2 linked regions of the Arabidopsis thaliana genome follow. The protein of the gene in region 2 interacts with the protein of the main gene of each other region in a biochemical or structural test. Each region holds a gene or a part of one and is shown on either strand. Other genes may lie near its edges. The genes, in order: TSPO and PIP2E.

Evidence for each region.
Region 1: the proteins of PIP2E (region 2) and TSPO form a complex in vitro, tested with the Arabidopsis thaliana proteins (one study listed by BioGRID).

What each region holds. Positions count from the first base shown.
Region 1 is NC_003071.7:19,566,285-19,570,077, forward strand, and holds TSPO (TSPO(outer membrane tryptophan-rich sensory protein)-like protein), read left to right. Parts: upstream 1-2,179; 5' UTR 2,180-2,416; coding exon 2,417-3,007; 3' UTR 3,008-3,223; downstream 3,224-3,793. Other genes in the region: ALG3 (asparagine-linked glycosylation 3), read right to left, coding at 1-49, 139-255, 351-439, 629-682, 778-844, 913-1,070, 1,248-1,316, 1,423-1,560 and 2 more; AT2G47780 (Rubber elongation factor protein (REF)), read left to right, coding at 3,792-3,793. UniProt on the Arabidopsis thaliana protein: Stress-induced membrane protein that can bind heme and may play a role in the transport of tetrapyrrole intermediates during salt stress and contribute to the detoxification of highly reactive porphyrins in the cytoplasm.
Region 2 is NC_003071.7:16,289,627-16,294,833, reverse strand, and holds PIP2E (plasma membrane intrinsic protein 2E), read right to left. Parts: upstream 3,555-5,207; 5' UTR 3,271-3,554; coding exon 2,967-3,270; intron 2,462-2,966; coding exon 2,166-2,461; coding exon of another isoform or gene 2,094-2,165; exon of another isoform or gene 1,527-2,093; intron 1,436-1,526; coding exon 1,295-1,435; intron 1,217-1,294; coding exon 1,088-1,216; 3' UTR 733-1,087; downstream 1-732. UniProt on the Arabidopsis thaliana protein: Aquaporins facilitate the transport of water and small neutral solutes across cell membranes.

The sequences.
Region 1 (3,793 bases), 3.3 Mb from region 2:
CAAGAAGAAATGCCTAGAACGCATGAAGCCTATAATCCCGCCTTCATGCCTATAAAATCAACATATTAATTACAACTAATGCTAAACACACAAACTGCAACTGCTTTCAAATTGCAGCTGCCTTATGATTGTACGTACTTGCACCACTTATAATTTGCGAACGCCACAAGGAGAAAAAGGTGAGCAATGAGCAAGCATACTGCAAATTCTTTGGACACAAAAACTCGTTCTGGAACAAATTTGAAGTTAACAGACCTGTTGAGAGCTCAAACTAGAGTTAGAGGTCAAAAGACATTTTTAGATCCCATCAACATGTTTTTTAGATTTGGCGGGAGAGAAGCGAACAATACCAGAAATGAATGAAAACACGTCCAAGATCAAAGGCGTTTGCTATGTATGAAACCGGATATGTTATCAGAAACGGCAGTCCCACGAGTATCTGTATAACCATTCATTGACCAGCTGAATGGTACTTCTTGCATAATCAAAACTATAATTCGCTGGATAATGCAACTCACCTATTTACATTGAAGAAACTACAGTTAACAAGTTTCCAAATTGTCTTGGAGAAACAATGCTACGCATACAAATTGGTGAATAAGAAGGCTTATAAGAGATATAGTGAAACCTGAACAAGAGCTGCACCAGCCAAAGCAGACACCACTCCAATGATATTCATGGCCTGTGAATAGTAAAACTTCACATATGAAGAAAAACAATGCTAGAAGAATAATAAAGCAAATCCATAAACTAATTCTCTTCCACGAACATATATACCTTAAGTAGCAGAAGTAACAAAGTTGGAGCATACAAAAGTACATTCATCTTTACAGAAACAGCTCCACTGTATAAAAAGAAGGGTAAGCAGACTAGTCAATCTAAAGAATCGAGAAGCAAAAGCAGCAATCTAACCTGAAAACAAGCATCCCTAGATGCCATTTACGATAGAGAAAGAGAGCCATTGATGCATGTAGGAGAGTCATGGCAAAACAATCATTAAAGAGACGGAGAACAAAGATTGAATGTATCCTCTTGGATAAACATAGTAGACTTAATGCCCACCATGGCACCTGAAATACGTAAGGATACAAGAAGAGATATCATCACTGAATTCACTAAAATCACTCCCATCATAAACAGACAAATCAAAACCAAAATATTGTTCATTAACATCGTAAATGGACAACGCTTGACAACGTCTACAAATACTTGATGAAAAGAGATAAGAAATAAGTCTTCATTTATACCACATCAGTCTTCACGTAGATGATCAAGACGATCCCCAGATTGACAATGTAGAGAACACCAAAAAGAATCTGCAAAATGTAAGAGAGTAGAATTGAGACAAATGAAGCGATGGATGGATCAAATTCCGCAGCTAATCCAAAGATAGGAGATTCAAAGAGAGGGAATTGCAAGCACCTGAGCAGGGTAGACTTCCCCTCCAGTTAAGTTCTGCACTGCAGAGTAAACATAGAGGAAACCTGCTGGATAAACCAATGGCCCTGTATCGCCTTTCAAGTTCCCATAGTCTCTCTCTCCCCCGAGAAACCCACTAACCTGCCCCAATTAGATAAATTTCACTTAAAGACTACTAGTTTACTTTGAAGAAACCACAGTTGACCATTGACACTTACCTGTGACATGTAAGCATCCCAATCGATCTTCGTGTCTGTTAAAGGCAAATGACGAAATTTGGTTTAAAACCTATGCAAATGCACATTTCGAGGGATACGCAAGCAAAAAAAAAAAGGAGGTAAATAGCTCTCACATGGAACATAGGCGATAATAAGTGCGACTAGGATTGCATCAGCAAGAATTAGCGCGAATGCGAATGGAACTGCAGGTTTTTTGAATAGATCGGATCGATTCGTCTCCTTCCCCAGCCGACGGCTACGAGAAGCTCTCAAACTCGCCGGTGATGAGGCGCCCGCCATGAAAACAGAGCAAATCGCATCAGCGTCTAGCCAACGCCGCGTAACAGACAACTACTTCCATATTACTACTCTTCTAATTAGCCCAAATTAAATGAGCCTATTGGGCTTCTTGTCTTAGTCGGTGTAGAGCCCAATTGTTGTTTTATTTTTTAATAATGCAAAAGTATTAAGCGATAAATAAATAAGCATCGCAATCGTCCCAAAACTGTGTGTATGCATCAGACATGAGCATATAGAGTAAGCACGTGTCCACACTTTTTCACAAAGTTATCTAAAAACAAAAAACAATTAATTAGCATTCGACGTGTACATATCACTCGCCACGTGTACAAGAGCCTTGGCCTTTTTGCTTCTTCTTCTTGTCTATTAATATCATCTCCTGATTATACTCTCTTTTGACCAAGCTGCTTCTTCTCCATCTATCCAACATCTCAAATCTCAGTAATCTTGTTCCTTCGATTCTGTTTTGGACGTTTGTAATGGATTCTCAGGACATCAGATACCGCGGCGGAGACGACAGAGACGCTGCAACGACGGCTATGGCCGAGACAGAGAGGAAAAGCGCTGACGACAACAAAGGAAAACGCGATCAAAAGAGGGCGATGGCGAAACGTGGTCTCAAGTCTCTGACGGTAGCGGTTGCGGCTCCTGTGCTCGTGACGCTCTTCGCTACGTATTTCCTCGGCACAAGCGACGGATACGGGAATCGAGCTAAGTCCTCGTCGTGGATCCCACCTCTGTGGCTCCTACACACAACGTGTCTCGCTTCTAGTGGTCTGATGGGTTTGGCTGCGTGGCTTGTATGGGTTGACGGTGGCTTCCACAAGAAGCCCAATGCTCTGTATCTTTACTTAGCTCAGTTTTTGCTCTGTTTGGTTTGGGATCCGGTTACGTTCCGCGTCGGGTCGGGAGTAGCGGGGCTTGCGGTGTGGTTGGGTCAATCGGCTGCGTTATTCGGATGCTACAAGGCCTTTAATGAGATAAGTCCGGTCGCTGGTAATCTGGTAAAGCCGTGTTTGGCTTGGGCTGCCTTTGTAGCCGCTGTTAATGTAAAGCTTGCAGTCGCGTGAGATCTGTAAACGCTATACGATGATGTTTGTAGAGTCTGAGTCATATGAGTGTTTCTTGTTGTTTTTGTTTTTTGTGATATATACCATAAAAGATGTCTTTGCGATCCAATGGTCTGGTCATTGTGGAGTAATAGACATGAACATGATATACTTGAGAAATAATGTGATATTGTAGAAGTTTTAAGCGTTGGTCTGAAATCAAACTGTGAGATTCTTAAAAGGCGATCGTTTTACTTTTATGTCGCCGAAACGGAACAAATTCAAACGGTAAAGCCAACTATACTTTGATCAGTTTTGGGTTGGGCCGTTGACACTGTTTTGTGGGCTTCTCAGTCAGTGGTAAACCTAAAATTAATATAGGAACTCGAGGATTAGGGCCCAATCCATTTTAACACGTGATGATATCATGTAAGGTTTGGAGGGAATATACAAAAAGTGGATGAATGATAGCGAACGAGAGGTCCTTGTGCTTTTTTGATTTACCCTCGAGACTCGTGCCGACGGAGTGGCCGTGGCTTTCGTGCAACAGTCTCGACCCATACCTCGACACGTGTTGAAAACGGTCCATTAAGAGTAAGACATCTGTCAATAGGACAGCTGTCCTAGAGGTCACTCGTCTCTCACAATCCAATCCCTTTCGCTTAAATTAAAACTAAAATGGAGCATGGCAGCAACATGCCACGTGGCTCACCAGTTTCAAATCTGAGCCGTCCGGTGTGATATAAGTCTTTTTAAAGAGAGAGAGAGCGGTTCGTTTGTCTGCAACGGCACCAAGTCTTTGACAAT
Region 2 (5,207 bases):
GAACCTAAACTACACATGCTCAAAAATATGAGCTAGATCTTGCATATTTGGAAGATCGGCTAAGCTACCACATCTTACAACAATCGCATGATATTAAATGTGAAATAGATTTCTTTTATTGGTTTTATTAACATTTATATATACATTTTTATTGCTAAATATGTCAATTTACTAGTGTAAACAATGTTGCATTTATTGCCGATTATCTACCTATTCTCAAGAATCATGCTAGACTCTACCCTCTCTCTTAGTATCCATACAAGATGTGTCAGACTGATGCTAAATCTGGTAATTCTATGTTTCACACCTGTGGATATTGGTTGGGTTTCTACTTCTGATTGTTGGTGTCATGTTCATTATGCGGTTGAAAAAATATAGAAAATAGAGGAAGGTGCCATATAAGTTGTGAGATGTTAAGATCTCACTAGATGGCAATACCAAAGAAATAGAGGAAAGTAAGAGGAACAAGATAGTAAAGAAATCTGAGGGGAACCAGATAAAAGAGAAAAGTGAGAGGATTTGGTTTTTCTCCTATACATAGCTAAACATGTGTCGTGAATCATTTATTTTTATTTCAACATTTTATCCATGGCGTTATCATTTCAACATTTTTTATTTGTTTGTTTGAGACGATTACAAATGTTTGTGCCCTTTATTTTTCAGTGATTGATAGGATGCACCGTTGATGGAAAAGACCCAAAGGATCTTTAGCATGAAATTTTAAGATTGTGATCGACATTGACATTCCTGAGAATTTAGGAACAATAGTAGTTTATGGTTTTGGAGTTTGTGTTTTTTTCTATGAAATTTAAGTTATAATGATGATTGATCAAAGATAGAATCATCAATAAGTAGATATATAAATATCATATGCATCAAATAACACATACATTGCTTGTACGTTACAAATTGTTACACACAAACCTCCCCCACAAAGCCACAAATAAGACACAGTAAATGTCACTCACCGACCATCTTAAATAATATTCGTTTTTTCTTTTATATGATTTGGGTCCCTTTTTTTTTTCCTTCCTCCCTTCCTGGCCCAAAGAATTCTTCACCTCTTCGCTAGTTCGAAATAACAAATTTAAGCATGGAGCTCATGAAGCTGGCTCCTGACTGACCCATAGGCCTTCATTGCACCAGCTCTCAACACAAACTGATGGTAAAATGCTGCAATGGCTGCACCCACAAATGGACCGACCCAGAAGATCCACTGTAGTTATTAAAACAAAACTCATTAATATGTTAATTTAAAACCCAAGAACGAATATCAGATGGTGAAAATACAAACCTGATCATCCCAAGCCTTTTGATTGTTGTAGATGACGGCAGCTCCAAAACTCCTAGCCGGGTTTATTCCGGTGCCAGTAATTGGAATTGTGGCTAAATGAACCATGAACACGGAAAATCCAATTGGCAATGGTGCTAATACCTACAATTCAATAATTTCATACAAAATAAATCAACTTACGTCATTAACAATCAATGACATAGACATTTAAATTTGAATGAATCATAGGTACCAAGATTACTAGAATGGGAAAAAGAATCAATTAATGACCATGTGCATAACAGAAAGATTTGTTTTGTAACGAATCATATATATTTGCAAGGACAAATATCATGGAAAATGTATGTACACATACACATGGGTCGTTGTGGAAATGCAAAATATGGACCATTTACATACAGAGACATGTGATGAAGAGACGTGGAGCACAAATATGGTATGTCGTTATAACGTGTAAATAGACATTTGGTACCAAAGAAACGAACAAGAAATGAGTGAAAAATAATTGGACACCCTTTCGTCGTTTATCTCATAGAAGAAGATAGACGTTACACTTGGTCCGTATTATTTTCGTTAGGGCCAAAATGGCTAGACGACATCGTTTTCAGTATTAAATAAATGCGTTATATAGCTGGCACTAGATTTTGATTCTGTACGAAAAATTGTCGACAACGAAATCAAAAAATCTATCCTAATATTTCTTCCATTATTTATTTCTGTAATTACCACGAGTACTACATTTTGTTAAAAATAAATGAAACGAAAGAAAACTATCAATTTTATGTACTACTATAAGTCTTTAGCTAGGTTTTTGATACTTTTTAATGTTATTCATGTGATTGAGGCTTGTAGGATAGTTAAAATTGCTTACAGGAATGTGAGAGTCACGGGCATTTCGCTTAGGGTCGGTAGCGGAGAAGACGGTGTAGACGAGGACAAAAGTGCCGATAATCTCAGCACCAACCCCAACGCCAACATTGTATCCGTCGGAGAGCATGTTGGCTCCACCACCGTAGCGGTTGTAATAAGTCGACTGGAAGACTTTCACCAAACCAACTCCACAAGTGGCTCCGAGACACTGAGCCACCATGTACGACACAGCTCTAACCAATGATACCTTGCTAGCTAGGAATAGCCCAAACGTCACCGCGGGATTGATGTGTCCACCTATACAAATATATATGATAAGTACGTATAATTTCATAAAACCAGCTGATCCAGATGAGATAGATAATTTTTTTTTTTTTTTTTTGGTGTTTTCACATGATTAATTGTTTTTTGCAAAACTTCGATTTAGTAATTCAAATAGTTAAATTATTGAAATCCGAAATGAAACATTAATTTTATATAAAAACTAACCTTGGTTTGAAAACAAAAAAAATCTTAGAACATACATTATTTGGAATTTTAATTTGGATGGAATTTAATGTTCTAGAAAGCTAAGTTTTCTTACCACATATGTATACTGGCCAACATTGTGTATCATCAATCATTTAACTACTATAGTTTGGTTGATTTGGTATTTTTGAAATTCTGCTTCTTTGTTACGAGGACATGTATAGGAGCCTCGAATGATGAAGCATGTGCATTTTGCTATGCAAATCAGATAATGCAAAAAATGGTTAAGGAAAGAGAGAGAGAGAGAGAGAGAGAGAGAGAGAGAGAGAGAGACCAGAGATGCCGGCAGTGCAGTAGACGAGGATGAATATCATGCCACCAAAGGCCCAAGAGATGCCTAGGAGGCCGACACTGGCACAAGCTCCGCCGCCGGCGTTGATATCAGTCTGGCTCTTAAAGCCGATGACTGTCAAAACAGTCACGTATAGAAAGAGCAAAGTAGCTATGAACTCAGCGATGACAGCTCTGTAGAAGGACCACTTCTTGAGCTCTCTCACCTCGAACGTCTTCACAGGCGGTGGGTCTAAGTAGTCCTTGCCGGAGAGCGACTCTTCCTCCGTCAACTCATCCTTCGTCATTCTTTCAGACTTAGCCTTCACGGACTCAAAAAAGAAAGAGAGAGAGAGAAGAGAGAAAGTGAGAGACTGTTAGAAGATGTGGGTGATGTGCAGAGATGGTGAGTGGGTCTATTTATGGAAAGCTGTGGCTTTAGGTTTTTCCTCTTTTGCAATGAGGTTAATTAATTTATCTTCTTCTTTTTTATTTATTAAAAAGTTCGTAAAATAAGGGAACACTACAGGTGTTTATGATTGTGATTAGTCTATGAAGACTCTATTGATGTCTAAAGAATATGCTTTCAATTGATTTTGATTTGGTTATTTTGCAACAATTTTGTTGGGGGGAAAAATCACTAATTCCTCTCGCCTTTTTTTGCTGGTATTTTCCTATTAAGTTATTTTACCCACGAACAAACAAGCTAGTTTACAAAATTACAATGGGCAAACATTTCATGTAGACTACTTGATACGAGGCTTTGTGTTGTGCGCAATATCCTCATAGCCGGAGCTAAACCTTTAAAGAGAAATTTTAAAATATAAATTTTGGGTTTTTAATTTTTCTTTCTAACCAAGTAACTTTAATACCCGAATATGTTTAGGTTTAGTATAACTGTCAACCATTATTTATTTTTTTCCTCATATCACCATAATTACAGAAAAATGATAGAATGGTTGTATTCATGTAATTAGCGTAGATTCTTAGATTTCAGTTCTTAAAAGACCAAAAAAAATGCAAAATAACAGACACTGATAGATGTTGCAAAGTAATGAAAAAGACTACTTAAAATGAAAGAGTCGTCGCTCATACATTTAACGCAGAAAATATAAGAGTAATTTAAAATGCAAATTGGACCGACCTTTAGTCGAAAAGTTTAACGCAGAAAAATAAAAGTAATTTAAATGCTATTACAAATTGAAACAAAGAATCAGATTATTTGACGAGCAACAGTATATACAAATGACATGACAGTGAAATGGGGCGAATGTATCTGAAAGCTCTCCTAATCAAGGAGTCAACAATCACCTATTTAAGAATGTACGTTGTCTAATACTTGAAATTTTACGTTTTTGTTTTTCTTTTCAAATTTAAAACTCTTGCCGTATTTAAAGATACTGGTCATTAAGGTGGCCATGGAACTAAACACAGCCTGAAAGAAAATTTTCAAAGATTTTCCCAACCCCAATAGGAGAGCTTGCGATGGGATTGAATTTACCACGATTATTATATTTTCTGAAAAAAACCTTTTATTCCCAACATTTGAAATGTTTCATATGTGGAGCAAGAATTACGATATGAAGAATGGAGAATGAGAAACCATATAATTTAATAAATATTAACATGAATATCATCCACTTTTATTAACACAGGATCAAATGACTGTTTTTTTGGGAAGACGATCGACCTCCATGAACCATGAACATTAAATCTTGTCCACGTGGTGTCCGTGGTAGACCCATCTAATTTACGTAGCTAGGCCCGTCCATGGCAGAGTAGGATTGGACACCAAGATAAATACAAGAATATATTTGAAGCGAAGCATTTGGCGGATTATAGAGTTCTACAAGACTACAACAGATGATGCATCACTTAATAATACCAAAAAAAAAAACAAATGTCCCACTTAATAATCGAGCGACGACCATTATTTTTTTCTGTAAATAAAATGAAAATGAATTGCTTCATGAATTATATTACTCATTTTTCCTAGAGATGGGACCGTTCATAAAAAGTATTACGGATATACTGATAGCAAAACATTTTTTTTTTTTCTACGCAATTTTGTAATTTACAACTTATCTAAACACATTCGGATTCATTGTAATATTAATTCTATGTATACAATTCATCTTCATCCATATTTTTATAACATCTTCTTGTTTTGAATTTTTATTTTTTACATGAGTCACATGACTATAAGTCAATAATATCATTTTGCTGCTAATACGTGCTGTAATTA